Linked DNA regions of Solanum lycopersicum. The protein of the gene in region 1 binds, or shares a complex with, the protein of each later gene. Links are inferred from orthologs where the notes say so. Each region holds a gene or a part of one and is shown in the gene's direction. Other genes may lie near its edges.

The links.
Region 2: mediator of RNA polymerase II transcription subunit 17 (region 1) and mediator of RNA polymerase II transcription subunit 31 share a complex: the UniProt entries of both Arabidopsis thaliana proteins name them as parts of the mediator complex. The link is inferred for Solanum lycopersicum from reciprocal best matches to the Arabidopsis thaliana genes AT5G20170 and MED31.
Region 3: mediator of RNA polymerase II transcription subunit 17 (region 1) and mediator of RNA polymerase II transcription subunit 25 share a complex: the UniProt entries of both Arabidopsis thaliana proteins name them as parts of the mediator complex. The link is inferred for Solanum lycopersicum from reciprocal best matches to the Arabidopsis thaliana genes AT5G20170 and PFT1.
Region 4: mediator of RNA polymerase II transcription subunit 17 (region 1) and mediator of RNA polymerase II transcription subunit 27 share a complex: the UniProt entries of both Arabidopsis thaliana proteins name them as parts of the mediator complex. The link is inferred for Solanum lycopersicum from reciprocal best matches to the Arabidopsis thaliana genes AT5G20170 and AT3G09180.
Region 5: mediator of RNA polymerase II transcription subunit 17 (region 1) and mediator of RNA polymerase II transcription subunit 23 share a complex: the UniProt entries of both Arabidopsis thaliana proteins name them as parts of the mediator complex. The link is inferred for Solanum lycopersicum from reciprocal best matches to the Arabidopsis thaliana genes AT5G20170 and AT1G23230.
Region 6: mediator of RNA polymerase II transcription subunit 17 (region 1) and mediator of RNA polymerase II transcription subunit 8 share a complex: the UniProt entries of both Arabidopsis thaliana proteins name them as parts of the mediator complex. The link is inferred for Solanum lycopersicum from reciprocal best matches to the Arabidopsis thaliana genes AT5G20170 and MED8.
Region 7: mediator of RNA polymerase II transcription subunit 17 (region 1) and mediator of RNA polymerase II transcription subunit 9 share a complex: the UniProt entries of both Arabidopsis thaliana proteins name them as parts of the mediator complex. The link is inferred for Solanum lycopersicum from reciprocal best matches to the Arabidopsis thaliana genes AT5G20170 and MED9.

What each region holds. Positions count from the first base shown.
Region 1 is NC_090811.1:1,513,610-1,518,266, forward strand, and holds the start of mediator of RNA polymerase II transcription subunit 17, read left to right. Parts: upstream 1-1,480; 5' UTR 1,481-1,589; coding exon 1,590-1,678; intron 1,679-1,777; coding exon 1,778-1,997; intron 1,998-3,445; coding exon 3,446-3,559; intron 3,560-3,726; coding exon 3,727-3,812; intron 3,813-3,934; coding exon 3,935-4,319; intron 4,320-4,428; coding exon 4,429-4,657. UniProt on the Arabidopsis thaliana protein: Component of the Mediator complex, a coactivator involved in the regulated transcription of nearly all RNA polymerase II-dependent genes.
Region 2 is NC_090802.1:52,519,134-52,524,153, reverse strand, and holds the start of mediator of RNA polymerase II transcription subunit 31, read left to right. Parts: upstream 1-1,713; 5' UTR 1,714-1,867; coding exon 1,868-1,905; intron 1,906-1,989; coding exon 1,990-2,087; intron 2,088-2,276; coding exon 2,277-2,373; intron 2,374-2,538; coding exon 2,539-2,617; intron 2,618-3,007; coding exon 3,008-3,285; intron 3,286-3,439; coding exon 3,440-3,455; 3' UTR 3,456-3,506; intron 3,507-3,678; exon of another isoform or gene 3,679-4,422; intron 4,423-4,877; coding exon of another isoform or gene 4,878-4,881; 3' UTR 4,882-5,020. Other genes in the region: polyadenylate-binding protein 1, read left to right, coding at 241-286. UniProt on the Arabidopsis thaliana protein: Component of the Mediator complex, a coactivator involved in the regulated transcription of nearly all RNA polymerase II-dependent genes.
Region 3 is NC_090811.1:29,968,255-29,972,482, reverse strand, and holds part of mediator of RNA polymerase II transcription subunit 25, read left to right. Parts: intron 1-706; coding exon 707-760; intron 761-985; coding exon 986-1,014; intron 1,015-3,981; coding exon 3,982-4,050; intron 4,051-4,175; coding exon 4,176-4,228. UniProt on the Arabidopsis thaliana protein: Component of the Mediator complex, a coactivator involved in the regulated transcription of nearly all RNA polymerase II-dependent genes.
Region 4 is NC_090800.1:77,932,915-77,936,623, forward strand, and holds the end of mediator of RNA polymerase II transcription subunit 27, read left to right. Parts: intron 1-1,287; 5' UTR 1,288-1,348; coding exon 1,349-2,584; 3' UTR 2,585-2,764; downstream 2,765-3,709. UniProt on the Arabidopsis thaliana protein: Component of the Mediator complex, a coactivator involved in the regulated transcription of nearly all RNA polymerase II-dependent genes.
Region 5 is NC_090804.1:17,725,825-17,729,232, reverse strand, and holds part of mediator of RNA polymerase II transcription subunit 23, read left to right. Parts: intron 1-1,613; coding exon 1,614-1,795; intron 1,796-3,408. UniProt on the Arabidopsis thaliana protein: Component of the Mediator complex, a coactivator involved in the regulated transcription of nearly all RNA polymerase II-dependent genes.
Region 6 is NC_090802.1:67,511,117-67,516,127, forward strand, and holds the start of mediator of RNA polymerase II transcription subunit 8, read left to right. Parts: upstream 1-2,067; 5' UTR 2,068-2,157; coding exon 2,158-2,357; exon of another isoform or gene 2,358-2,479; intron 2,480-2,657; exon of another isoform or gene 2,658-2,731; coding exon of another isoform or gene 2,732-2,787; intron 2,788-3,743; coding exon 3,744-3,868; coding exon of another isoform or gene 3,869-3,893; intron 3,894-5,011. UniProt on the Arabidopsis thaliana protein: Component of the Mediator complex, a coactivator involved in the regulated transcription of nearly all RNA polymerase II-dependent genes.
Region 7 is NC_090801.1:55,598,073-55,603,049, forward strand, and holds the start of mediator of RNA polymerase II transcription subunit 9, read left to right. Parts: upstream 1-2,043; 5' UTR 2,044-2,364; intron 2,365-3,459; 5' UTR 3,460-3,500; coding exon 3,501-3,857; intron 3,858-3,964; coding exon 3,965-4,027; intron 4,028-4,109; coding exon 4,110-4,190; intron 4,191-4,574; coding exon 4,575-4,633; intron 4,634-4,773; coding exon 4,774-4,831; 3' UTR 4,832-4,854; exon of another isoform or gene 4,855-4,977. UniProt on the Arabidopsis thaliana protein: Component of the Mediator complex, a coactivator involved in the regulated transcription of nearly all RNA polymerase II-dependent genes.

The sequences.
Region 1 (4,657 bases):
CCAACCACTACTATAAACACATCATCAAAATATTAAACTTGTATATTTTGTTATTTTGTTTTTATACTATACTTCTTTTAGTAGCCTAAGGGCACTAAAATAATTAAGAATTACTAGCAATAATGTCTTTTTGATTCATTGAGGAGGTGTATCAACTTCGATCGATGACGAATTTAGAATTTAATTATTATAAACTATAAGTTGAGAGAAGGAGATTTAAATTGTATATTTAATTATATTTATAGTTGAAATTAATTAAACATATCAATGATTTAAATTTAATTGCTTCAAACTTTTAGATTTTTTTAAATAAAAAATTTATTGTTCTTTTGTATTATGAAATTATATAAATATGAAATTAATTGATTTTCTTAGTTAAATTTTACATGTATATTAATGCATCGTCAAAAACAGAATTGAAATAAATCTATTGTCAAAGAATTGCATATGCTACTACAATGTTCAAAATCAAATCATTAAGTTTTATTGAATCTATGAACTCGTGATTAGACCGATCTGTTACTGTAAAAATAATCCTTAGCCGCCAAGAAAATAATGAAACTAAGATGTTTATTGTAATGTATATAAGTAAAATTTATTCACCAATCATATTTATTTGAGTTAATATATGTAATAATATTTTTAACTGTGTTATTTTCAGTATGAAAGTTATGCATGAATATAAGACGCATAACTTTTCTGTAGACCTAGTTACTATCGAAACTACAAGACGATTTGCTAACTATCGAACCTTTTTGAATATTTAATTGCATGATTTTCTTTTCAGATAGGTTGATCTTCAAATTTTACCTTTAATAATTGATAATTGCACGATTTTTCTTTTAAATAGGTTGATCTTTAATAATCAAACTTATACCTAGCGGTACATAAGTTCTTTAAGGGCACACGTGCTATAACTTATGAGATATTATGATTAAAAAAAATCTAAACTTACGTCCCACCAAAAAAGTTATTGATTTATCATAAGAGACAAAAATTGAAATCAAGTACAAATACGATAAAAGCGCAAATAACTCATTTTTTGACGAAAAAATTACATGAATTAATACATTTTAAAATATAATTACTGATTTTAGCTATATTTTTTGTTTATTACCATTTATAGCAATACTGTAATAAGTCTGTAATATGTATTAAAAGTGAATTATGTATGCAATATATATGAATTCTAATTGTTTTTGAAATATATTATGTTTGTTTGGTAAAAAATTGTCGCATTGTACTATAAGTGTATTAAAATGTGTTATAAGTGTATTATCTATCATTAAAACTTGTATTACATGTGAATAATAAATTGTTCTGTGTAATATGTATTAAACTTGTATTATAAATGAATTAAAAGTGATCAAGCGAGTACATTTACGTAAGTTTCCCTTTTTTGACCCACCAAACCAAACATGAAAGGGCCATAGTGTGGTTCGTAATAGGCCCATGATTTAAGCCCAGATCTTAATAGGCCCATACATTAAGCGAACCAAACCCCAATTATTTTCGACGGGTATTTTCCCCGATTTAGGGCACAATTCGGGATTTCTCCGACACTTCTTCCCGGAAAATCTCCCTGAAAAATGAACGGCAATCTGGAGATTTCCGTCGACAAGCTTCCGATCAAGCGTTTAGAGTATATTGAAGAACAAGGCGCTGAACGCTTCCCTTCGTACACTTTCTTTCTCTCTCTATATAAAAATGTAGAATTTCATGCATAATCAGTTTGTGAGCTGGATATTTACATTTAGATTTTTCGTAATTGTTGCAGTGATATAGGATACGATGAGAAAACGGTGAATTTGATTAGGAGAATTGATTTTGCGTGGGCAGTGGAAAGAGAAGAGCCAAGTAAGAAGCAGAAGAAAAGCAGTAGTGCTACTTCTTCAAAGGAGACAAGTAGCAGTCAGCCATGGCAATGGCAGAGTTTGGTGGAGAATTTGCGATTGGCTCATCAAGAGCTTCAAGTCATTATCGATCTCATTCACACTGTAAGTGTTAACATTAGAATTTTGGCTTATAATTTTAATGATTGAACTTAATGTCTATATAGTTTTGATAGAAAATAGTTCAAATTAAGTTTTAATTGTTCTGATATTTACATCTGGTCTGGTGTTTGTGTGGTGTCTGGTCAAAGACTAATGTGTGATAATTGTGAGATTTTGAGAATAATGAAGTTGAATAGAGAAAAAAGAATGGTGAGCAGGTTATAGGTTTGGGATTTTATTCTTTTTGAGTTGATGATTTCTAAATTAGTAATTTGTACTTAGTAAATGGATTGCATATGATACCTACAAAGTGGGCTAAAACTACTAGGTTCTGCTGAACCTGCTTCCCACACTCTAGCTCCGCCTTAATACGGAGGTTTAGTCAATGCCAACTAGTGTGCGATTGAGGTGTCGGTTGATTGATTGATTATTTGTTGGTACATGTTTAGTATGTCTTGTGCCTAGCTGGTTGTGTTCCATGCACTTACCATAAGAGGAAAACTTTGTGTTTTAGCCTGATAATGTGCTTGAAAGTGGAATACATTTGTCTTATGCTGTACTCATTATTGGCCAATTGAGTTTTTGTGGCATGCAGTTTTAGACTGAATGATACAGAGTAGTGTTTGCATCATGGATAAATGTTAATAAAATTTCATCTATGAGAATAGAGCACACTGGTTTTATTCCAATGTTGAGGTTTATCACGAGAGTGGGTTGGAACATTTTTATTTAGTTATCAATATTAGTAAGGTATGAATCTAATTCAGAAAATACAATAGAGAACTGTAAAATACACACATGTATGATCGTGAATGTACTTGAAAAGTGGTTAGAGAAAGAAGATCAAGACATCTTATTTACAACAGAGGAATTATTAACTACCTCTAAGTTGTTCCAGTAGGGAATTTCATGTGTGCGTGATAAAGAAAGGCCTTTTGGAAGGTGTAAAGTTGGATACACCACATATTGGATTTTTGAATTGAATCAACGTGGCTTTTCTAAATTGCAATAGCTACACGAGTATCAAGCTACTAAGCCACACTATGGAAGTCTGGGAAAGGGTGGTCGAGATGAGGATGAAGAGGGGTGTGTCAGAACCAATTCAGCTTGAAGCCATGAAAGGAGATTGTTTGAGCAGTATAGGGAGAAGGAGAGGGACTTGTACATGGTGTTCATTGACCTAGAAAAGGCATATGATAATGTCCCTAGCATATCATTTACTCCTCATTATCAGTATGATAGAGACAACTAAGGATTAAAAAATTTGACTTAAGCTTTCGGCATTAGTTATTTAAGTGGCATGAGATTCGTCAGTCCATTTGCTCCTTCAATCCCTTTTTGCCCCTTCTCCCTGGCATTTAAGACAGCACCTTTCTTAGGCATAAGATGAATAAATTAGCAGGAACTGTGGATTATGTATTGCATTGTTGACTCTGCTGTTCTGCATACAGGTGGAGGCAAACGATGCAGTGACAGTGGCTGGCATGACCAGGCCAAAGCAATTGCCCAACGAGCATCTGTCAGACCTTGCCGTGTCTATGGCAACCAAGCTGCAATGCTTCCGTGTATTTTACTTTATCCCTTCTGCAAGATGTTATGGTTGATGTATAAGTTTGAGTTAAACAAATAATCCACTGATTATCTTTAAGTCTAATGGTTTGTTGACAAAGTATAGTTATGCACTTCATTAGCAAAGCTGTATGTGTTTCGTAATTTGGCTTTTCTTTTGCAGCATTTGGGGAAATATTTTAAGCAATCTGCCAAAGCTTTGGAACAACAAGTGGCTAGAGAAGCAAGATTTTATGGTGCTCTTATCAGGTTTGTTCTTTGTGGCTACGAACAGTATTAGTACATTGTGAAAGATATGTGTGCAGTCATTTAGACTACCATGTCTTTGTGCCTTTCCTCAAAATTTTGGCTATTTCCTGATGAGCTGATAGATTGCAGCAAAATTGGAAGGTTAAATGGCATCGGATGGTTGCTGCTGCTTCTGGAAATGAAGGGTTTTACATTGATTTATTTGACACTTCATTATATGATCCAGCGGTTGCATTTCGCCCATCTTCTGCATCTGTGGTGCGTATTGAGCATGACCCAGCTGGGATGCTGGCTGTGAATTTACCGCCAAATTCCTGCCGGACTCTTCAATTTGAGTTTCTCGGTGCAAGTACACCTGCTGGTGTTATAAAACATAGCAGACTGAGACCAAAGGTGTCTTTTGAGGATTCTTCTGGAGAAACTAAGAGAGAAAAAAGTGATGATGAGCATGTGAGAGAAACTCATTCGACACTCCGTGAAGTTCACCGAGCAATCTTTGATGAGCAGGTATATTTCTAGGTTCCCTCCTTTCTCTTTTTAGTACCCTTTGAGTTTTTCTTATTCATTTTTGTGACCTACTTCTGTTTTCTGATTATTTTCTTGGTCCTTGTTGCAGGTGTTTGATTTGGTTAACCGTGAAGCATTTAATCCAGCTTTGGGTGCTGACGTGACAGGAATACAAGAAAACTTGTTACGTTTAAGTATAGGTCAAAGAGCTTCTCTGTCCATTTCACTTGTACCATCTGCTGACGATGGTCAGACAGCTAATGCTGTGGGTGATGAACATCCAGAAACTGCTATTGTGCCTTTTGAATCAGTTGATGCTTCAAAACAAGATGAAGGGA
Region 2 (5,020 bases), on another chromosome or scaffold:
TTAATGGAAGAATAAATTTTCAGATATTTGTTCATCTGGATTACAGTGTTCCTTCCTAAGTTGTCCTCCTTGACTCTTCACTTTTATAAGCTATAACTTAACAGTTGTGCAAATTTTACTCTCTTGTTTGATGTTCACTTTCGTTGTCATGTTTTGTCTTGACATAATTCAAGCTGATGCCTGCTTGATGATTACATCAAACTTTAGTTAACAAGTATTGTGTTGTCATCTTGTTTGCAGAAGGGTTCCAAGGTTCAGACGGTCCATCCGCTACAGGCCATACTAGTGAATTTTAAGCTGGATTGCAGCCTTCCCTAGAGAAGCATGGAGCTCGCTTTGTGAAAAGGGCATCTCCTTGTTTTACTCTCTTTGGTTGAGGGCAAAGGATGTTCTAATTCAAATAAGTCATTAGCTGACATAAATTTCAACTCTGTGGATGATGTTTTAGGTTCTGGGGATTGAGAATTTTTTTCTTTGCTAGCTTGCTCAGATGCTTGCATTTTGGGCAGCAAATGGAAAAGACAAATAAAATAGACAGTTTGTTGGAGATGGTCTGAATTATGTATGGTTGTGGTTTGGTCACTCTTAAGCTCCCCTCTCCTAAACCTCCTTATCCCCAACTTCAAATCCTAATAGCTACATGCAATAAGACCAATGGTGTTTAATTTTATTAAAGGACTATTTATTACTCCATGTTAGGGTAGATACAAAATGCTTTGGTATAGACAGAGATGAAGATTTTGTAGTGTATGGTAAAGCGTCTTGTTAATAGGAAAAAGCATGGACATACCAATTGAAGTAGTCCAAATTGGTAATTGTATAAAGGGTAAACAAATCTAAAATTTGGTTGGAAACATTGGTCATCGAAATATGATTTCGTAGTTGTAGGTCCAAAACCCCCAATTTCCATGCTCATTTTAGGCATGGTATTATGCACCTCTCTTTCATGACACATATATTCAGTTGTGGCCCGTAGACATGTTTCTTTGAGAAATAACCGAAACAGAGTCAACTTGAATTCAAGCTTATAAATATCAAAAGTGATATAAGATTTTTATTCCAAACCAAAATCATGAAGGTTGCATCCAAAATCGCCCTTTTTTTTTTAACCCCTTGGACTAAAATCACAATTTTCACATTTATATAACTACGAATTTAAGCTTAAAAATTCATGCATACTAATAAAAAACTGGTCAAAACTTAGATATAAAGCGCGCAAGCGAGACTCAAAAACGTGTTGAGGGCTTCGCGTCGCTTTATGTGCACTTTAGTGTCTTCACCAATGTTCTAAGGCAAACGTCACCTTACCAATGAGCCTCTTATGAGACAGTGAAGTTAAATCACTGATATTTCACTTTGTCATAATTATTTTCAATTTCTTTGATCATATATTTGACATATTCATGTTTATAGTTATTAGTTTTGGACTAAACATGCATACTTATACTCTTTTCCTCCCTTTGCGTCTTTTTTCATCAAAGCTTACATTTTATTTGCGCTTAAATTCCCCATGGATCGTAAGAGCTTTTTTGCGCTTTTCATCTTTAGTAACACTGGTATAATCACATATGAGAATTATGACTTCACTTAAAAAAAAGATTTCTAACCATTTCAATCTGATCGACTGTATAATCTAGGTGAGTAAATGAATCTAATGACACACTCATATTGAGCAAATAAAAATTAGGATCAAAATCAAATACAAGATGTCATTTTAACACTGAAATTTTATTTCAATATGAATTTAATCCATTTTTACATTACATCTTAAAAATGCAATGAATTTCAGACTTTCCTTTTGTATATATAGCGCAGCAATACAATCAACGGCTAACTTTGAAAAGTAGAATTAGTTAGGGTTTAGCGCATGGCTTCTACATCGAATCCAGAAACCCATGAATCACCGTAAGCAGAATCAATTCATCTCAAATCAATTTGCATCTTCGCAAATTCACATTAATCAACTGTTTTTTCTGTTCCAATTTGCAGGCAGAAAAGCGTCTATAAAGATCCCGATGATGGGCGCCAACGTTTCTTACTCGAACTCGAATTTGTTCAATGCCTTGCTAACCCAACTTACATTCACTGTATCTATCTATCTATTCCCTTCTCTTATTTAAACATGATGTTTTCTGGGTATTTACCAATTATTGTTAGTTTTATGTTATATATGTTGTTGGTGTGAAAATGAATATTGGGTTGCAAAAGCTTCAATTTTTCTATCCCTTTTTCATTTTTTGTTTTGTTTTGTGGACTTTGTATTGATTCTGATGCAGATTTGGCTCAGAACAGATATTTTGAAGATGAAGCTTTTATTGGGTACTTGAAGTACCTTCAGTACTGGCAACGACCTGAGTACATAAAGTTTATAATGTAAGTTAGTTTATAGTATTAATATGTGATAATAGTTATGTATGTTCTTTCTACTGCAACTTTTTAGATGCAGTGGATGATGGTCCTTGTTCCTTTTCTGTTTCCTGTGGACTATGGATATCGTTAACTAATCGTATTGGTTTTCCTTTCTTGATGTTAATGCAGGTATCCACACTGCCTATTCTTTCTCGAGCTTCTCCAAAATCCAACATTTCGTAATGCAATGGCTCATCCTGCTAACAAGGTAAAAAGTTATGTCATGTGTTGTCCTGGTTTCCTTCTCCACTTTTGCTATACTCTTTAGTTAGTTAAGACTGTCAGCCACTATAAAGAAGGTTCACCCCACTTTCTGTAAACACAGTTTCTATGGACTAAAAATGCTGCCAAAACACTTTATAATACATGGTACTTCATTGTCTTAGCCATTAGCCTTATTTCCATTTCTGAACTTTCCCGTAGTTTCTAGGCATAAAACTTATAATTATTTAATCGTGTTGTCGAGGTTAATTCTCGCCCCGAGGACATCTCATCTCATTTCACTGTTTATTATTTATTGCACTTTGTTTGCCAACCTAAAGTTCTGGCACATAAATCTGTGATAGGATCTGATCTACATGTTTGTAACAACTATTAGGAAGTAGCACATAGGCAGCAATTTTACTTCTGGAAGAACTACAGAAATAACCGGTTGAAACATATTTTGCCGCGGCCGCTTCCTGAGCCTGCAACTGCACCAAGTTCTGCTCCACCTGCATCACTACCATCAAGTGTAGCCCCTCCAACTGCTCCACCTCCTGCTCCTACACCTGTTACAGCTGCAGCTCTTTCCCCGATGCAGTATGCCATCCCTCCTGGATCTGGTCTTGCTAAAACGGACCCAAGGAATGCTTCTGTTGATCGAAGAAAGAGAAAGTATTTCCTCTCCTCTTTTACTTTTCTCTTACTGTGAAAACTTTGTCAATGCTTGTTGTTGCATGCTCCCTCTTGTTATGATTTTATATTTTAGGGTTAGATTTGTGACGTAATGTTTCTGAAATGGTTATTGACTTGGATAATTTTGTTTTAGCAGGAAAGACGGATAATTTTATTTTACTCATAGCACAGACCTCCTATCAACTAATTTATGAATTAAGGTAATACATTTTGCACCCCATGATTTCATTTTTCGAATAGGTGTTGCAGTTCCTCATTGGCAAACACATTAATGAAATCCTATTAAGAGTGTGATTTGTTGTTTATTGAATTTTAGAGTCCTTCCCAAGTCTCAAGCATGATCAATGACCTGTACTTTCTTTCTCATGTCAGAAAACATAGTGCTAAAGTTTTGCGAGAGATCAACTACACATTTGTTGGGTTCACTAGGATCAAATTTCTTTAAGAAATAAATGTAGAACTAATTTTATTCCCAAACCAAGTAACCAAAACAGAAAGGAAGCAGCCTGCCTTTGAACTCTTTTGGGATGCCCTCGTTTGTGGTTTCAATTGCTTAATTTTTTAGGCTTAGCTCAGACATCTGGTGATAGGTGACTGGAAGATTGCCAATGCACACTTATAGCAGTAATGGGTTATCAATGGAGTGAAGAATTCGAATCACCATATTGACATGTGAACTTCAGATTTTGATGATAAATGAAGGAGCAACTTCTCTAGTGTGGTCTAAGTATATGAACCTTTGCCTATAATCTATGGTAAATGGGAGGAGTATTTATGGTCTTTGATGCACTTCACTTGGGCAAGGTTACGGTCCCTCTCCTCGGCTAGCCTGTACGAATTCCTATAATCACCTTTGCCTTTGTAGTTATTCTTTCCCCTTCGACTGTTCCAATTCCGTGTCCTCAAAGTTGCAGGTACTGACTCTCAAGGGCCTACTGTCTTTCCAGAAAACTAACAAAAGAGGAACTTTATCCATTTGGCTTGAATTGGGTGGTGTGACACTTAAGAATCGGTACAACCTAGATCTATAGACCTGAAATTAAGTGCAGCACACAAAATTATATTAGCTGTATCACTTTCATTAACGGAATTCCAAGGATTTCATGTTATCACTCATCTCTTTTCTCGTTTTGGTCAAGTGAAGTGCTTCCCCATATATATTTATGAGTTTCAGTTTGAAACTATGCCGTGTGTCCTTTTCTCGACAAGATGTACTCTTTCCTATTTACTTAACACATAGTTCTCCAATGTAAAATCAAGTATTGTGCTTATACTTTATTCTGGTTGGTCAAATTGACCTAATTGCGACTTTGTGACGACTCATTAAACTTATATATGCTTAAGCGGAAAATTGGGTAATACTCCTATTGAGCATATGATGTGTTTCTTCCATTATCTTGATAATGTCAGTTCTTTAAATTTAAGAATGGCTTTTGGGTTCTATAGGAGCATTACACTGAACATATTACTTTGTGTTAAAATATTCTGATTATGCGTTGGTTCTTTAATCATCCTATAAAAGCTATGTTGCATCCTATTTGTGGAATCTAATTTCACAACCACACTTGTAGGTGATCATCCCTGGAATTAGACTACATCCTATGTTTAGAAAAGAAGTCAACCCTGTTTAATTGCTGATTGCAGTTTCAATAATGGAGCTTGGCAGTTGTATACTGCAATCTGGTGCACCCCAAAACAAAACAAAATTAGAAAT
Region 3 (4,228 bases), about 28 Mb from region 1:
TACCAGATAAGCAATGTAGTTTTTGCTTTTGTTGAATTCAGTGATATGCATATAGTTGAGAGGGGTAATAATTTTGAATTCAGCTGGCTCTTTCGCTTTTTTTTTTCCTCTAATGCTTTGTTAACTCTGGTATAGTTATCTTGGTGAGGTAAAAGATAGCTCAGGCCTTTAATGCTTCGAAGTCTTTTTCTGTGAGAACTATTTTGAGTGCACTGTTTTGAGTTTTCCTAAGGCACCTTACAGTTTGATTTGCTTGAACCATAACATAATATTAGTGAATTGCTAATGGTTGCTCTGATGTTTGGGGCTGAGGATAGAACTTATTCTGATGCATAACCAATTACTTTAACTTTTGAAAGAAACAATTGTTTTAGACTTTGCGCAGAACCAGCAAAATCATATTTGAGGTTGTAAGACCACAATTTTGAACTTATAGTTTATACTGAGGATATGTCTATACCCTTGAATAGTGTGATAATATGCAAGTTATATACTACAATGAGAAACTGGGTTGGTATTTATTCAATTTTTTGAACTGCTGTTCTTTTCAAGAACTCTGATTATTTTGCTATAATTTTTCGTCATCCCGATCGAATTCATGTTTTCCCATATCTTGTTTTCTTTTAGAAACTACCTACAAGAAGCTCTACATTTCTGTATGATGTTAATGAAGTACTCCTGATAATTTGTAATGAAAATGTTGCAGGGAAACTTATCTGGTCAGAGACAGGGGCAGCCTGTATTTATTACCAGATTGGAGGTATGCTTATAACTTGTCTTATTGGAACTTCTAGTGATTACAAGTTCTTTTGTGTTTTTTGATCTTTTTCTAATGGTTATCATTAAGTGATAGTGTCTTAAAGAAGGCAATCCAGCTTTTGTGTTGAGACATGAAGTATTGCCTACTTATCTCTTCATGTTGTAAAATGGTTTGCTGGATCTCTACTAACTGTACAAAATCTTGTGATCCAATTTCTTGTGGCAGGGGTATAGGAGTGCCTCAGCTTCTGAATCGTAAGTTTTCATTTTTATAAATGCTTGATTTAGTGATTTCACAATGTCACTTACAATAAACAATCCTACTATGTTGTTTTTTGTGTTTGAGTTATCGCACTGTTTTGTTGTTGTCTTGCTTCCTTCTGGTAGACTCGCACTGTTTCCTTGTTACTCGCTATATTTTCTTCACTGTCTCCTTCTTTGTACTTGGATTTTCTGCACTTGACCCGGGGTTTTTTCGGAAACATCCTCTCTAGCTCCTCGAGGTAGTGGTACAGTTTGCGTACATTCTACCTTCCCCTGACCCCACTTGTCGGATTTCAATGGGTCTGCTGTTATTGTTGCAACGTTCCCATTCCTTGTTGGATTGTGAAGGGACTATATATTTGTCTTCCATAAGTTGTACGGATATTTGGTAGTTGTATTTTATAGTGTAAGTTTAGCTATGCTACTGTCTTTTCCATCTTCGAATTGCAAGATCTTTTATTTTACACCTAAAGAACTCTGTTGTCATGATGCACTGATCTCTCAAATTTAGCAAGATCAGTAAATGGTAGAGACACCAAGGAATTCCTGATTTAGTCTTAGAAACTTGTTTCTTGAGGGATTCATCTTTTATAAAATTCTTTTTTTCTACAACTGAGACATTATTCTATAACCCATTTCCCTTTACAATTTTTTCTCAATCTTGTCAAGAGAAATATTCCATGATGTAACATCAAGAATCTTTGATCTCTTTGAGTGGTATTCCTTATATTAGTATTGGTTACAAGTAATATGATATTTATAATCCATCGACAGGATGGGTTTCATTTGGTTCTCTTTGGGATGATAAATGACCTACTTAACTCAGTGGTTAGAGTACTGCTTTCATACGGTGGGAGTCATTGGTTCAAATCCAATAGTATGTAAAACTAATTAGATACCAGAGTCAATGGTATCTAATAAGGTTTACAACCCACCTTTAGTGATTTTTTTTTTTTTGATTTTGTATCTTTTCTATTTCATTTTTTAATTTGAATTTTTGCATCAGAATTGGATTCTGTTTGATTGTATTCACCCGACAGAATCTAAATAGGATTAGAAAGAGAACTTCTTTTTATTATTCGAACGTACCAACTAGTTATGAAATCGGATTGCTAGCCTACTTCTTCAAATTCAATCCTTCAACACCCACTTGCTCCAAACTAGCTCACATGTTGTCATAGATATTGCTTGATATTATGTTCTGGACTAGAATGAGAAACGACACTCTATTTCTTGCTTTAACAACGCACTAAAAATTGCTGGCTTCTAAAATACAATTACCAAACATAGAATGTCTATCAGAAGGTGACCCTACCAATCAACATTGGTGTATCCAATGATCTGCTTATGGATTTGAGCCTCGAGTGTCAATGGGTCGTAGCATAAGCTTAACATTCAGTTCCATAGGAGTGCCTTTGGATTTACAGCCCATCTTATCTCTTCAAGAATCTCAGAAGCATATTTTTGTTAAGAAATAGGAATAAAATACCCTTTCAGGAAGACCCAATTGATTGGGCTTTGGACTTCCATGTTGGAGGTTTCAGCTTCGAAACCCCTTGCTAGCAAAAAAAGATGTTTGCCTTCTTGGTCGAGCTCGTCTCACCGGGTTTGCCTAATGCAGGTAACTTCTCCTGCGTGGTTCGTAAGCTATTGCATAGAAGTGAGGGATTTTACCCAGTGCGCATCCAAAGGGTAGCGGTTGCGGGTTTCTCATCATTAAAAAAGGAAAACAATACCTAGAAAGTAACTTCATTCTACCCAAATTATTTTTCTGAAAGTGCCAAAAGATATGTTGTTTAGACTAGTGATACCATCACAATCATTGTCAATAATAACTATATTGTCACCATAAACCACTAAATAAATACACAAACTTGAAGTTGAATGTTGATAAAACACAACTATCAGCTTCACTACCAGTCATGCTGAATTCCTAAATAACTATGTTGCACTTACTAAATCAGGCTTGAGGAGATTGTTTCAAACCATAGAGTGACCAGTACGATCGACATACACTACCACTAGACATCCCCTCAGCAACAAAACATAGTGGTTGCTGTATATAAACTTCATCATCAATGTCGTCATAGAGAAAAACATTCTTAATGTTCAATTCATAAATTGGACAATGGCGAACAACAATCATGGATAGAAAGAGGTGGACATATGCTATTTTAGCCACATGAGGGAAAGTACCACCACAATTAAGCCACATATCTGATGATATCCTTTGGCAAGAAGGCGGGACTTAGCTGATCAATTTGGCCGTCTGGACCAACTTTGACTACATAAACCCAACGATAGCCAACAATAGATTTCCTGAAGGATGAAGGGCAAGTTCCCAAATACCACTTGCGTGTAAAGTGGACATCTCCTCAATCACTGTGTGCAACCATACTGGATGAGAAATTGCTTCCCTGGTAGACTTAAGAATGGAAGTAAGTAGCAGACAAATAGAGTTCTTTTCAGATGTACTCTAGCGTTGGATAGGCAGGTGAGATCTAGCCAATCTTGAAGTGTTTGAAAAATAGGATTAAGCGATGACAAATTTTTGGGGTGTGCTGGCAGCATTAGTTGGATGCTTGTGATTCCTTTGATGAAAGTTGTACTTCTCCGGATTGCATTATATTGAATTGATGTGTGGAAGGAATCTAATTCTCTAGGGTAACTAATAAATTTGTGGAAGGAATCTAACTCATATTTTAGTTTTCAGCTATAATTGTTTAGTCGATGTAGAAGTTCTTAAACCAAATGTGATTCTTTGTTCGATTTGTGGTAGCTACATAGGAATGATATACAGGATGCTCTTATGTATTTGAAGCAAATGATGTCATTTCTGGAAAATTATCTTTTTGTTTTTCTGTTATGCATCTTTAGTCTTCTTTTCACTTCCATAATGCAGTGTTTTTTTAACTGTATTAACACTTGGAATTGATTTGTCCTTTGTGTTTTTGTCAGGCTTGCTGCAAATTGGCCTCCAACAATGCAAATTGTTCGCCTTATTTCCCAAGATCACATGAATAACAAGTAATTCATTTTAGATCAATTAATTTTTTGCTTGGTGGATCTTTTTCATGTTAGAAACATTTTCTTATTATTCGTCCACAGTGCAATTACTGCTTTATGAAAATTACATCTTTGTTTTGGATCAGACAATATGTTGGGAAGGCAGATTTTCTAGTTTTTCGGGCAATGAACCAGCATG
Region 4 (3,709 bases), on another chromosome or scaffold:
TACAAAGTTGAAATCTTTCCAATCTACATAGTCGAAGACACCTTGGCTTTATTTTTGCACAGCAGTTTTCCAACTTTTGAAGATAATCTTCCACAAAGAGCAATTGGATGGGGTGAAAAGGCTTGATAGAAAAAGGATGGAGTGGAAAGGATAATTGTATATGGCACGTTCTCTTCCCTTTATGGAAGAAGTTGGCTGTATAGGTTAACGGCAATATATTTATCAAACTACTGAAGTAGAAGCTACATATTTTGTGTCTTAACATAAAAGACTTTCCTGAATCTGAAAGCATTGGAACTTCAAAGTCATTATTCCCATCCCCCATCCCCCATTCCTACCTTTTCTTGATAGAAGAGGGAAATCCACTACCTGTCACTTAAACTATATATATGCACTTAACAGACTTTGCTGTGCTTGCATGTCAAGATGGATAGATCACATCGAAACCCCTAAAGTCTGAAAAAAAATGATGACAGAAAATATTGAGTGATGGTTTCTTATATCCAATTGTCCTACAAAATTTTTCTGTTGAATATATTCCTCCTTCAATGTGGAAAAGGAGGTTATAATCACACGTACATCCTCTTAGTGTGTCGCTGTATAATTTTGTGAAATATGGAATAGCTGTAGAGACTCTTCTCTTTTTTTCAATTTGTGGGTCCTTTGTTCATACAATACAATTGGACAAAAAAGGAATGCAAAAAATACCAAGTGATTGTTTGTTGTATCCTGTTGTCCTACAGCATATGAGTGATGAACAGTCTCCTTCTTTAGAGTGGAAAAGGAGGCTACAGTTACTCAGACAACCTCTTTACATGTTGCTATAATTATCTATATGGAATAGCTGTAAAAATCCTTTGCCCCCTCATTCTGGGGGTATATTGTCCGAGCTGTACAGTTGGACAAAAAATACAGAGTGATTGTTTGCTGTATCAAGTTGTCCTATAAAGTTGAGTGATGAACGGTCTCCTTCTTCAAAGTGGAAAAGGAGGCTACAATCATTCGTACGTCCTCTTAGCTTGAGGTTCTGGTTCATTTTTGCTTTCCTTCGCTACTTTATGTACTTGTTCCTTGTTTTATGGGGTTCTTGGTAGGATTTTAATTCTGAAGCACGATAGTAGATATCACTTGCATGTTTAAAGCTAGGTGATGTCAAAATGAGTTTGTTGAGGTGACCGTTGAGACTTTGGAAATATGATGTGATGAATTGTTGTTATTGAACCGTCTTTTATGGTTACTGGTTGAGGTGGACTCTCACTCAGTTCTTTTTTCCAAAAATGAAAACAGCACCTCATCCACGGAGCATAATTGCCAATAATAAAACCTCCCAAGGTTCAGACTTGCATAAATGCAGCAATCAACACTATCATCACACACGTCGGCGGTACAAGGAGCTTCAGCTGCGGAGTCCAATGAGATGAGTGGAGATGCGCCGCCAAAGCAGGTGGCAATGGCACTGGAGCGACTGGGGCAGGCGAGTCGACTCATAGCTGATATTAGAATTGGCGCAGATCGGCTGTTGGAAGCCCTATTTGTGTCAGCTCAGCGGCAACACTCTTCTAAACCTTTGCATCTTATCCACAAAGAAGAAGCTTCCATGAGACAACACCTTCAAGAGCTTCGCTCTGTTGGAAGACAGTTAGAAGATTCTGGTGTCCTCAATGATTCCCTCCGATCACGAAGTAATTCATGGGGCCTCCACATGCCTTTGGTTTGTCCTGATGGTGCTGTTGTTGCATATGCATGGAAGAGACAACTTGCTGGTCAGGCTGGTGCATCTGCAGTTGATAGGACCAGGTTAGCTCTCAAGGCCTTCAATGGTCAGAAAAGACGATTTTTCCCCCACCTTGATACCAATTATGGTGGGGAGGGTGTGACAAAGAAACTTCGTGGTCCTCCATCAAGTGATCAAGAAGAAACTTGTGAACTGAAATCAGTGTCTGAAGTTTTGACACATCTGAAAAAGGAGGTCTCAAATGTAATAACATTCTCTTACCGGCGTTTGGATTGGTTGTTGCGAGCTACCTCATTGCCCTCTTCGACCAGTGAAAATTCTATTGAATTATCAAAAGAGAGTACTTTCCAAAGCACGAGAACATTAAGACAAGGATCATCTGATGATGATGTTTCAGACAAGGTTGCTATAATCGAATTGTTGATTCCTTCTGTTTTTAGAGCCATAGCATCAGTTTCCCCTGCTGGTTCCTTGGATCCCGACGCTGTAGCATTCTTCTCGCCAAACGAGGGTGGTAGCTACATTCATGCGAGGGGATTCTCCGTTCATCATGTATTTAGGCACATCACGGAGCATGCTGCTATGGCTTTACAGCATTTTACAGGTGTTGGTACTGAGTCACCCTTGCTTTCTTTGCTGCTGTGGGTTTGCAGCTATCAGACTTTGTTCTCGAAAGCTTGCAGCAAGTGTAGCCGTCTACTATCAATGGACAAAGAGTCTGCCATGCTACTGCCCCCTGTTAATCGCCCTTACCGAAACTTTTCTGCTGGAAAATTCTTGTCAAAAGAGGAGCCAAGTGTGGATTCTAGTCAGTGTTTTCACATCGACTGCTTTTCTGAGGAAGCATAGAAAAATCAGCTCCATTGTACAAAGAAATTCCGAACCTATAATGTAGTATGTGGCCTGAGAGTGGTTGGTTAACGAAGTTTCTTTGGATTGTATTTGTTACACCAAACTTTAGATTAGTTACGTTTAACTTTCTTTTTGAGGTCTTTAAAATCCTACTAAATCAATGACAATTTTATACAAGTGATCTTTTCTGAAGTCACTAACGAAGGTTAGTTAACAGAGAGTCATTTATTTTGTTGTTTTATTTCCAAAAGATCGAAACAAACTTTTTTTGGGGTATGATTAATTTATTTATGCTCTGCTTTAATTCATGCAATCTAAAGCTGTTGGTTTTTTTAGCCTTTCTAGATTGGTCTAATCATTAATGGAATTTAAAATAGGAGAATTTGAATAACAATTAACAAGTCTTATTTTCCTCTGTTTGATATGCCTTTACATCTTTTTCAATTATAATGCTAATGGACATACAGTAAATATTCGATAAATTAATAATCTCTATAAAATAATGTTTTTCTCTTGTCTCGACTTAGATCAATGGATTGAAATCATCAATTTCGATAAGATAATGAAATAATATATTTCTAGAAGACCTTTATATAAATATGTGGTTCCATTAATATCATAAATTAATAATTCTTTACAAGATCAAATACATCTAAGAAAATTTAGTGAAATATGATTTTATTGTGTTCTGTTTTTTCTTAAAATTTAAATCTAGTTGAAGCTCATCTTTAAATTTTCTTATTGCATCCAAGAGCTCTGGTATTGTCTTTTCGAGCTGCATCATAAAATTATAAAGAGTTTTAGATGCGATAAATGCTTCCTTAAGCGTAGCTAGCTCCAAAGATATAGTATTATCTTCAACTTTATCATCAATATTGCATTTTTCAATGCTATTCACAATTTATTCTAAACTCTGGATCTATGAACACGTATCACTTTTATCCGGATAATACAACAAGTTCTTGATATCCATTTTACCGTGATAACCAAGATCATTAATCATACCAAGTTCATGAATGCCGTTCCACAAGTGGATTCATTTTAATTCTCTGAGATTGCGTCTCGCGAACGAATGTTACTGTGTCGAATACAATTTGCTATTGTCTATTGTCGAACATTTGT
Region 5 (3,408 bases), on another chromosome or scaffold:
TTCCTATGATGCACCTATTCAAGAGATCATTGAATGGTTGCGATTCACCACCTGTGATTCTTACTTTGTTCGCTGTACTCTGTATTTCGGCCTTATCTGTTGCCTCCGTCATCCATCTATCTTGGAAGAGGACTTCTTTTTAAGACTTGTGAAGCTGTTTTCTGTCCTTCACTGCTGTTCCCTGTGTTTTGATTGGCTCATAAATGAACCCAACAATCTTGTGAGCTATATTCCCCCAGCCTTTTTTGGGTGTGGACTCCGGAGTTATTATGACAGACTTGTTTTGACCTTGTAATGCTATAAAGCTGATGTATCTTCCACTTGCATTGTATTTAAGAGTGCAATAAAATTCTGCAAAGTGGTCTTTCATGTTCCACCTCTTTACTGTCCTTCCGTGTGTCTTTAAAGCCTCAATAAATACTGCAACTAACCATTTCAGGACTTTAATGCTAACTTTCACTCCTCTCATTAATTTTCTTTTACGCTCCACCCATTCAAACCATTTTCCACCCTCGTCTTTGCATCTCGTAATGTCGTAGGACTCGAACCCTGCATTGTAATAGATGATATCCTCCCCTATTGGGTGTGGTCCGGAGCCTTGCCGGATCCACCCATCTGAAACCTTGAGTTTGAATAATTTAAGCTAAAAGCTGACAGATCTCAATTAAAGTGCCTGGTATGTATTTGACAGTTTATTGAATTTATTAAATTGACACTAGTATAATTAAAATCTGTGTGAACACTTCATATTTTTTTCATAAGTTATCCATATAATAGCAAAGCTCTTCTATTTTATGTAAATATAATATGATATATGCGAGAAATAAAGGAAAAGAATATTATTGAATTGTTGTTTCTAGATTATTACAGAGACACCCTATGTATAGACACTTCAATAGACACCTTTTCCATCTAGGACACTACAATACAATCCTTTTCTAAGTTGGACACTACATACTAAGGATTGTATGTACCTATTACTATCCTAACAATATTTCTAGTCGAACTATATTTCTAAGGTCTTAGATGTAGTCAAAGCACCCAAGCTAGGTTAACCATATCTAGTGTGGATCCCATAGCCACACCCAAATCGTGTAGTTTCGACACGGGCACGATGATGATTTTGATAGATTTAAGAAGCATAGGTTTTAATTATTTCGGGCGTAACTGACACTCCAATCCATTACTAAGCATCATTCTAGGGGGACCTTAATTTAGTCTCTTCCTAATCTTTCATTAAATATTACCCCTAAAGCAGTTCAAGGTTTTGTTCCTTGAACAATCATCTCAATGAAAAAAAAATGCTCGAACAAACATCCGCTTCTCGCCTCAAGTTACCTGCATTTGAGCGCAAATGTGATCGCATCATTGGACCCAACTTATGTTGACATACTGAAGTGCATTAACCCTCACCTTACTTCAGTCGTTTTAAGCGAAAAGTGATTGTGTTTCATAACACTGCATTTGAGGTAGCTATATTATTGCATCATGCTTTTCTTTCAACAGTATTCTTTTTCCTTTTCTACTTACAATTTAGCTGCTATTTGCCTTTCTTAACATTGTCTTTTGCTTCATGGAATTTCGGTCCACTGATTTTATCGTTGGTCTTTTAGGTAATATTGTCGCACTGCTACATGCTTTCTTCTGTAACCTCCCACAAGAATGGCTCGAGGGAACTCATCTTATCATTAAGCACCTTAGGCCTGTGACATCTGTTGCAGTATTAAGAATATCATTTCGCATTATGGGTCCCTTGCTTCCGAGGTTGGTAAACGCTCATACCCTTTTCAGTAAGGTACAACTTCTTTCGAGTTTATGTTCATTTTACTCTTAATGTAGGATCAGTAGGGGGTTAAGGGGATTTGAATTTTGATTTACAGTATTCCAAGAAACCTAGATTATTTTCTCATCTTTTCTTAATTTCATAGGCTGAGATATTATATGCTCATGTTTGACCGTTCTCCTGCATAATAGTCCTTGTTTTGCCATGTAAAAAGAAAACATGAAAGAGCTAACTTAGTTACCAAGTATGAAGTATAAAATTCCACAATCCCTTGCCTACCCTTGTCCCCTGTCCATCCCTTCACCCGGATAATTACCTCTTAAACATCTCTGGAAGCAAACAAAAATAGATGGAAGGTGCTGGTGTTGTCTTCCCTTTCACCTCATACTCACGTGGGTTATACAAGCCTAGCTTACATTCCAACATATCAAACTGATTATGCCCATTTTAAGCACCGTGCTGCCTATATTTTATCTTAAGATGAATTAGCCACCACACCTGCTTTAGTCTCAAATATGGTACAAAGAAGTTGCTGAGTGGTGCAACAAAAATTGCTCTCAAAGGCACTTCGGTATAAGAAAGAAGTGATTTATAGTGTTAGCATTTTCAGAATTGTTAAAAATTAGGAAATTATTATTGTGGGAAGTCCCCATTCATTACATATATCGGAATGATTTAGAGTTCTTAAGTTGGGGTTTGGCTGTGTAACAAATGGTTTTTACTTTATTTGTAGTTTTTGCAGTTGGAGTTGTGTTTGGGCACACGTTTTACAAAGAATATTTAGAATTCATGTACCTTTTCTAGATATGGTTTATACTCCCCAATTTCTACAAACTAGAAAAATCACCCAACTTGACTAATTATCCTAAAACATACCTTCAAATCTGCTCTAAAAGAGTAATATCTCAAAATAGATAGTCACATAATGTCATAGATTAGATCCATACACGAGCTACTACATGCTATTACGAATATTTTTGACTTTATTTGGGATTTTAAAGTCGAGTTGAAGATGGATTTGTGTGATTATAATGTTTGTAAATAATATTTCGTTGTTTGAATGTTCTTTTCCTAAAAAGACATGAAATTGTATTTGGAATTTTCATGGACAAACATTGATTTTGAAAAAAATGAAATAATTCTTCAGGAAAAAAAGGGTAAAATTCTAAGTCCAAATGCTTCCTAAAATTTTGTCATTAGAGAAAGAATTACTTTACTTTTCAGGATTACTTTTATAAATTTATTAAACCCCAGCATGCTTCTGGGAATTATCAAGAAATTCATCATTTTCATTGCCAACATCTTTTCTTTTCTCATTGTTTAACATATAATTAAGCCCTCTAAGATCTTGATGGAGACACAAGTAGCTTCCACTACCAGCAGACATTGCCGACCAATTGCCAACAATTTTCTTGCATCTTGCAATCCGAAATGAAGACAATTTATTGAAGTTAGCTTCCTTTGAAGCGGAGTGAATCAGAAGTAAGAAATAATATGTCCTGCTCTAGGAGGAAGTTCCATTGAATCAACAACTATTTATAATAGCTTTGGGATTTCAGCATCTTAAGAAAAAGAGGAGATTTCTTTGTTTACTGGCTGCCGCAACCCTTTCTTATTCTTTTTTT
Region 6 (5,011 bases), on another chromosome or scaffold:
CACATGTAAATAAAATTTTGGGCAACTTTCACATATAGCAAACATAAAATTCATATTTGTATGTTATAGCAAAGTTTACATAATTGCACTCTATAGCAAACATATAAAATTTATAAGTCTCTATACATATACAATTGAAGCGAATTGTATAAAACAAGAAAGAGAAAGAAACTTGTCCAGAGAATTGTATAAAACGAAGTGTATTAGACGAATTGTATAAGTATAAGTGTATAGAACGATTATATACAATTTGAATTTGTATAACATGAGAAGGAGAGAAAGGCAAAAGAGACTTGGGCAGGGAATATACAATTGAATCGAATTGTATAAAACGAGAAAGAGAAAAATTATATACAATTTGAATTGTATAAAACGAGAAAGAGAGAAAGGCAAAAGAAACTGGGCAAGGGAGTTTTTTTATTGTATAATTGTAAGTGTATATGACGAAAATATGTGTATTTGCATGTTTATATACAATTTTCTCTCGCTTTATATAAACGGAAACACAATTTATACATTTCATTTCTGTTTGTATAAGCGAGAGAGGCGAGGGTGGCGAGTGAGATCTGGGAGAGGGGAGAGAGGGGAACAAAAATATATGTATTTATACAATTTCCTCTCACTTTATACAAATAGAAACATATTTTATACACTTGTTTTTGTATAAAAGTGAGAGGAAGAGAGCGAGAGAGGAGAGTGGCGAACAAGAGTTTGAGGGAGAGAAGTGACTGACAAACAATTTGCTACGGGACACAATTAAATCAAAGGGTGGTTATAACAATTAATTTGATTTATTAGTTTGCCATTATATACAACTTTCCCTAAAATTTATAATCACATCATTAAAATTTATTATTCTCACCGACATAAACTTTATTATTTTCGCTAACATATAGTCACTTTAACTCACACTTCACGTTTGTTGAGTAATAAAATTTTGAAGAGCCTGTGAAATGTGTTTCATTTTTACACGAATATATTGATGAAACAATTACTTTAAGTGGAGAACAAATAACATTGTAATCATTTATTATACGACAGCAATACGAAATCCCATTGTTCCAACCTCCACGGATCCACTAGTCACCTCGAGGTTCACCAACGAGCAACAATGAACAACTAACCCACGTTGCTCTTTCATTTTCTCCAATTCTAGCAAATTCTTGAGCTCGAAATCACCAAAAACCAACCACAAAGTCACCAAGGACCCATTTCTCAACCATTTCCAACTAAAACAACCATCAAAAAATGGATCTCGACTTGACCCAAAACCCATTCATTTTTTTTTCTTTTTTTTTTTGGCGAACAGCTGCATAACCCAACCTTTTCAGGCCCACAAAACCCCAAATTCATTTGCTGTATAAAAACACCAGCGAGCCATCAGAACTCACACCACTATCGATACCATTCTTCGGTGAAACACCCATCAACAGTGAGCTCACAGACAGTGGTGAGCCACCACAAAATCTGCTACCTAAGGCCGAAATCTGGCCAAACCGACACCTTTAGGTCTCCATTCGATCCAGCCATGAAATGGCAAAAATCCACCGGAGAAAGCTGCCACATCCACCATTCCTCTTGTCGGTGAGACCATAAACACTTTTCCCTCACACGACTTTGTCTCCTTGTCGCCTCCGTCCGCCGCATAGATCGTCTAAAGAAAATGAAAGAAAAAAAATGGTTGAGCATGGATAGTTATGCATGAAAAAGTAGGTGGGTGGGTGAATAAAAAGGGTTTTTTATTTTTTTTCTTTTTTTAAATTAATTGTTCTATATTTTGATAAATTTTATAATTTTTAATTATAAATATGGTGTTCAGTTGCTTTTACACGCGTGTAATCACTCTCTCTAGCCAATTCAAACATTCAAATGGCACATAAGTTTGGTCAATGGTTAGAGGGTTCATTAAATTATGTTTTATTGAATTCAGGATCTAAATAACAAAAGGATAAGTAGAACGGTTCACAATACAATAACATACAAATATAAGGGTCCACCATACCATTTCACCTTAAATTAAAAATAAAACTAATATTATGGTGTTTAGATGGAAAAAATTATTAGAATTAGTAAAACTTTAGGTATGTACATTTTGAATAATAAAATATAAACATATAAATGCGTAATGAAAATTGCGGTTGAAGAGGGTTGGCGACCATGGAAGGAGTAGTGGCAGCTCAAGATCAGCAACAGCAACAGCCACAGCCGCCCAGGGTGGTGGAGGGTCTGAACCCCGCTGTTCAACAACAACTGAATCTCGAATCCGTTAAAACTCGAGCCGTTAGTTTGTTCAAGGCTATTTCTCGCATCCTCGAAGACTTCGACGCTATCGCTCGCACCAATGCTGTCCCCAAATGGTTCTCTTTCTCTTTAGTTCATTTCTTCTATTTTAACTGTGTAGCAGCAAATACAAATACATTGGAGTAGTTAAGTTGACTAATACTAATATCTACGAGCTGTATTAGCCCCCAAAATGAAGGTGAGTGAGACTAGATGATATTATTCTATCCCGTAGTACTAAGAGTTTAGAGTAGTCTATTTTTTTGTTAATAACCCTCAATTTGTTTTACCAAGCACCTCCTCTGACCTCTCTGATTAGGATACACTATGGTTTTATTGGGTAATTTCGGCTAATACAACTATGCTACCAAATGCAGGAAGTTTACTAGTTTGTCATTTAGGGATAGTTTATTGACAACACCAAAATGCATTTTGTGGGTTCTCCAGCCAAATGAGTTTCCGGTACTGTGTCTTCACAGGCTGGGATACCCCTGCTGAACTTTTAAGGTAGCCATTTTTATTCTTTGTCAATTTAGGCTGCGAGATTTGTTGTCATTAGGTAGGTCAGGATGTTGTGATTCTGTGTATATTTGGAGATGTAATTACTGAATTAAGTATAACAAGTTTGGGAATGCATGCTACAAAATACTACTTCAACTTTGATGCCTCAATAGTGCAGTTAATATCCTTCCATGAGCCTAGACTCACCAGGCAAGATTACCTTTTGGTTAGATGAACATTGCTACATAGGACATCACATTCTCAACCACAAATCATCTTCAGACAATTCCCTGGACACATCTCGGTTAGTAGGAGGTTACACAGTCTCTTCACCAACTTTCTTATACAGTTTGGGCTTGGATCTGCATATCCTTGTCCCCAGGTTTAGAGTAGTAATAAAGATCTGTGTGAAAAGGAGAAGCGCCTTATTGATGCATGTGGATTATCACAGTTGATCTCAATATTCTCATTATCTCCCTTAACAAATGAGAGTAGACCTTCACTCTCTAGCATTTATATATTATTCAACCCCACTTATAATAAAAAATCCAACCTAAGATATACTTGCACATTCGTTTTGTAGAAGGGAATGATATATAAGAAGATCAACTTACACATTTGATATTGATTTCCTTTGGTATCTTATTGTACTGCTGATTTTTTTCTTTTTCATATTATTTTTGTAAAATGAAATCCAAATCTTCAGCGTCATATATAATACCCTTTTCACGCAAAATCTGATCTGCCTCACTCTTTTTTTTCTTTCTATAGACACCATTTAACTTATTTGGATCTCGTTGGGAATTGAGATGAAGTGTTTTACAGTTGATACTTGATGATTATTCTTAAGAGTACTGAAAAAAAATATGGTATATCTTTATGAGGAATATGTAATCAGGAATGGTTTTCCAACTCATTTCTCATATATGTTAACATTTAGTTTTAATAATTCTTTTTGCTAGGCAAGATATTTTGGGGCAATTTTCTATGGTGAATCTTGAGCTTTATAACATTGTTGAAGATATTAAGAAGGTCTCCAAGGCTTTTGTTGTTCACCCCAAGAATGTAAATGCTGAGAATGCTGCAAGTATGGACTTATTCACTCACGCTTGGTAAATTTGTGAAGTTGGACTTCTATTATCCTTTCTTAATTATACATGCTAACCACTGACATTTGTCGTTGCATATAAGCAAGTACATAGGTAGTGTATAGGAAAGTGAATCACCGAGAAGGTTGGTGTCTTAATTCTTCTCTCCTCTCGAATGCTACCTAAGGGTATATACATATTTAGTCTGGCTGTTAAGTTGCTCTTTATCTAACAGTTTCACTTCTTGCTGACTTGCTGAGGTTAGCTTGATATACATGTATGCATAACTAGATAGCACGACAGTCAGTCACTATTGCTAGCAATTCTATTTCCATGTGGTGAAATTGTTTGAGCATAATCAATCAATCAATCAACCACACCCAATATCAAATTAGTTTTTTTTTTTTTTATGAAGTAAGTTGTTTCATTACCGGCATCAAGAAGATGCTAAGAGTACAAAAGTAGATATGCTAGTTCCGTTACATGATAGCAGTTAAGACACGGGAGCCATCCACCAATTCAAAAAATCTAGAGAAGGCTTAAAACATGACTATGTCTGGCCTAGAGTTAAAGAGCTAATAAAATCTAAGAAAGTAGTGTAACTATTCACATAAGACGGGTTGGACCAACAAAAAAGAATGAACAAACATTTAGCTTTGAGTGAGTGATTAAGAGTTGAAATTCCATCAAAACACCGTTGATTCCTTTCTGTCCATAGGCACCAAAAAATACATGCTGGAATCATTCTCCAGGTGTTCCTGATGGCCCCATCAACTATCAAATGGTCCCAACTCACAACAACTTCTCTGATAGTTTGAGGCATCACCCAGTTCAAACTGAATAGGGAAAGGAACACATGCCATATGCCTGCATCCACCGCACAACGCAAGAAAAGATGATTTACTGATTCTGCACTTTCCTGAATTTCTTTTCCAAATTTCTGATAAGGTTAATGAAAGAAATAAGCATGTATTTTTTGGGCTGTGGAGTATATTTGTGTTGACAGAAAATCCGAAAGATGCTTTCTGTCTATGTTGCTCAGACTCTCAGTGGGTGTGTATCGGATTTTCCAAAAGTATTGTATTTTTGAAGAATTTGACACGGGTGCGGCATCAAAAGTGAAGAGTCCGCGCAGCTTAGCT
Region 7 (4,977 bases), on another chromosome or scaffold:
AAAAATGAATGAAAAAGACGGTCAAATTAAAAGATTTTGCATAATTCTTAACTCAATTAAGAAAAAGTTCGCGATAATATTCTTGGCATATATAAGAATAACAATTAGGAAGGGACGGCTTATTTTTTGAGGGATATATCAATTAAGGATGAAAATTATTTACTTTAAAATACTTTAAGGATGTTTTATGATAAGAATATACTTTAAGGCTGTAATTTGAGTTTGAGGTATAGTTTAATGATGATTTTGGCTAAAATTTCAAAATAATTAATCTCCAACCTTTTTCAATTACGGAAAAGGCGAATCATGTACGCTCACACCTTTCAATCATTTTTAATTTCCATAAGCAACAATGTCTAAGATTTTTTATATTTTTCAAGAACTTCTTGTAGAAAATAATGAAATTATACATAATAACTTTTGTTGATAGTCGCGTTAACTGCTCATGTTTTTGTAAGATCCCTTAGTTTTTGACAATATCTAACAAAAGGATGAAAGTTGTTCACTTACAAATACTTAAAGGATGTTTTCTGCTAAAAATGATACTTTAAGAATGTAGCTTAAATTTGGGGTATAGATAAATGATGTTTTATGCTAAAAATAATAATTTAAGGATGTAGTTTAGATTTCGGGTATAGTTAAAAAATGTTTTTGGCCAAATTATACCCTATATATAAATAAAATGCTATATAATATTGCGATATATAATTAATTGAACACCTATGACAAAGTCTATTGGTCTGCTGGTAAGCATGTTCATTTACGTGCAAGAGGTCCTCAGTTGCAACATGTTTTTTAAAACATAAAACACACTCTCTTTTCAATTATGTGTAAGAGATCTGTATTAAGTGACTTATTAGGTATACACATTCTCAAGATTTTATTTTAAAGAAAAAATTAAAGATTATTATTTATTATTATACTTTTGAGTATTTCTAAAGTATCTTTCTATTTAGAAAAAGTAAAATAGTTAAGAATTTGAAAATAGGAGAAAAAAACTCATCATAATCGTGAAAGTCACTCTCAAAAGGCTCATCATAGCCCTTTTTGTGACTCGACTCAAGCTCATCATACATTATTCGATATTTGAACTATTCAGTTATTTAAATTACAAAAAACACTCGACAATTTATTTCATATGAACTAGAGGGAGTATATTTCAAGCAAAAATTATTTTGTGACTTTTGTCCATTAGTTTTGATTTATTCCATCGATAGTTTTATCATTTTAAATTTCCGCAAGATTTAGTTACTAAGTGATGTGTAATTTAATTTCTCACACATTTGCAAAAATAAATTTTGTGTACCCACTTCGCTAAAAAAATTATCGACTCTTTTAAAGTTTGAACAACCTCGGCGAAATTTCTGGCTCCGCCACTATTTGGCGAGTAACATACTCATCATACACTTTCTTGGATATATCGCGTTAATTCATTCATCATCAAGATAAATGATTTTGATCTAAAAGTTGATGTCTGGTGCAACCTCTTCATAGTGGAAAAGTGCTTTTTTTTCTTCTAGGTCTTGACTCCTTCATACATGTCCTTGATCTTCTAAATATACGTCATAGAGTCTGGCATTAATACATACATTTTATGAACCCTAAACACCCAAAGGGACCTCCAAAAAAATTTGGTGTGTGTTTTATAGAGGGTCCCTTTTAGTGTTTAGGGTTTAAAAAGTGTCCGTTTTGATATCAGACTTCTACATACCTCCAATTTCCAAACATCTCCAAAAAACCTCCTTCAAGACTCTGTCTAAAAAACTTTCCAATCAATGAACATCATATGCAAGTTTTTCTATTTGACTGTACTTATTTATCAATCTCTTTATAATGACTTTTGAATACATGTGAAACATGCTTAGATATCAAGTGTATAGAATAAATTATATCTAATTTTGACTCATATGTATCTATTTTGTAAAGTTCTAAGAGAAAATATAATTAGAAAGTATAGTTTCAACCGATAAATAACACAAATGTAAATGTGTGTTTTGTGTTGTTTCCTCTTAATTTAAATACAATTCATTCAAATTTGAATGCACTAGTGATCTACTTTTTTATTAGTTCAATCTATTTCAGTTTGTTAAAATATTAGTTCATATATAAATCAAATCGGTTAATGAAAAGTGAGTTTTATGTATTTTGAATTAGTATTTTAATTATTAAAAATTATCTATTTTTTTTTAATACATACTAAATTTTATACTATAGAAAATGTTAAAATTTCTAAATTAGCTTGTTTGCTCTTGAAATCGAAACCTCCCCACAAATTGGGACAGCGGGAGTAATTTCAATTTTGCTATTTGAAAAAACAGAGGATTTTCCGTTGGGGTTTAACCGGATCGGGCCTTTTCATCTCCGGTAATCTTTCTCGTTTTGTAATTCTCATCGTACTTCTGCTTTGTTATTAACTGTACTAGTTGTGGTTTCAGTAAAGTTTAGCTTCGTATAGTTGTGAATTCATTCTCTTGTGGCGGCTTAAATCAAGGGTTTGGTTGTCAGTGTTATAGCAAACGAAGATTCTGTTCAGAAGATTTAGAGTTCTTTTTTGTTGGAAATTTTGAGGTTGTGATTTTGACCTAAAACTGTTAATTTCATAGATAGAGAGATATTTGTATGTTAGTAATAGGGAACCTCTAGGGTTATGAAAACCTAAATTATTGAATATTGGAATAGATGGGGTTCTAATGGAGAGAATTCATATAGTAAACCCAAACTAATTCGGGATTGAGGCATACTTCTTGATTACTGAGCTAAATTAGAGATAAAGAGTAAGAGGTGCAGTTGGGATTGATTCATTTCTCACTTTAATAACTATCTAATTTTACAGTTTTAGGTTTTGTAAACTTTTTTAGTGCATACTAATAACTATCTACCCTTTTGGTTTGCTTGGGATTGCTAGCTCCTTAGCTTTAGTTTAGGATACTTGTATGAGTGCTGAGATTTTTTTTATGCCCTTCCGAATTAGAGCTAAGCGGTCGCATATTTTGTAATCTGGCATCTACCCGATGCCCATTCAAGGATAATTTTTAACCTTATCAAAAAGACATAGTTGCAGCAGTAATTTTTTCCGATGTACCTATTGATTTAACAATGTGAACACCAAATTTATACAGATGTCATGGTAGTTTTTACTTGGAGATAAGAGTTTACTGTTTGTTAAATTTCAAAGAAGAGTTTACTGTTTGTTACGAGGGATGGGCTTCAGTTTTAGAGGGTCTCACTTGATGGCTTTGTTCTCTTTGGTACAAAAGAACTATTCTTGTAATAAGATGTGGATGAAATGTCATTTAGGAATGATGGGAAATATATTTTTGAAGTGGTTTGTACATTTCAGAATCTTAGGAATTATTTCTCTTTGCTACTCAGTCCATTAGGCCAGTTCATGCTTTGATAGTTTTGGCTATTTGTGTAGTACTTGATTACATCTGATGACATTAATTTTATCCATTTTAGAACCAAAGTACCAACAGATTTCAGCTCAACAGCCATTAGTTATGGACCACTTTGGAGGAGGAAGTTGGACAATGATCCCCAACATCCAAACTCACAGTAATCCTTCGACACCCTCCAATCAAGACAATTTATTTCTTCAGCAACAGCAATTTCAACAACAACAGTTCATTCAACCGCAGCTCTATCAGCAACAACAGCAGCAGCAGCAGCAACAACAACAACGGTATCAACAACAGATGCAACAGCAACAAATGCAGCAGCAGCAACAGATGCAGCAGCAGCAAATGCAGCAACAACAACAACAGCAGCAGCAAATGCAGCAACAACAACAACAGCAGCAGCAGCAACAACAACAACAGCACCACCAATCACTTGCCTCTCACTTCCATCTTTTACAAGTATTGGGCAAAAACCATGATCTGTAGCTTGCTATTTTAATAGAGTAACGAGACATTTCTCTTTCCTAGTGAGACCTTTTGTTCTAACTTTTATTGTCATCTTACAGCTGGTGGAGAATTTAGCTGATACAATTGAAAATGGAAATCGAGATCAGCACTCAGATGCATTGGTTTGTTCATTTCTTGATTGATGCATTATATGTTAGTTTTCCATTTCTTCTACATTAAACCGGGTGTATTTTTCCTCACCAGGTAACTGAATTGAAAAATCAGTTTGAGAAGTGCCAGCAGCTGTTGACATCAATATCAGGGTCTATTAGCTCAAGATCTATGGTATTTCATTTTCACACATATCCTTTGATTTCTGTTGTAACTTGTTCTGAACACACCCCCAACTCAAAAAATAAAAAGAAAAAAGAGAGAGACTCCAACAAAGAGTTAAGCGCAATAATATGAAAACAGAACTTCAAAATTATTCTTTTCTGGAAGAGTTGGATTGTTTTTCTTTTGGCAGTGTTATTGCTTTTAATTGTGCTTTTCCATTTGGGCCTGTTTGTTCAACTTATAGTTGTGAAGAATTTTACTGAAAAGTGGGGTTCAATATGTTTGAAACGATGTTGACTTGAACAAAGTTGCTCCACAAATTCTTATTTGGTTGCATGTTTTGATGCTTAAATATGGGTAAGATAATTGACCAGTCCTGTGTTCTTTGGACAGACAGTTGAGGGACAAAAGCGCAAAAAGGCAGAGTGCGAACAAATGCTAAATCAGCGAAGGTTTGTATTATATATATATAAAACACACACACACACACATATATATATGTGTGTGTGTGTGTGTTTCTAATATTGTCTACTGAAATTTGTATAATTATTATTTGCTTCATCTGATGGTCATGTTTCATGCTTAATTACAGGGATCTTATTTCGAGGTACAAAGGCTCAGTTGAGGAGATTATTAACTCTGAACTATAGCTCATACTCGCATTTTAACCAAGGTAAAATTATGCGCTGCAAGTTGTTTTTGGCCTGCCCAAAAGAAGTTGAGTTGAATCACCTGTCATTTTGATTTTACTAGATGCAAGTGAAACAACTATGCAGTGTTCTGGATGCAGTCAATT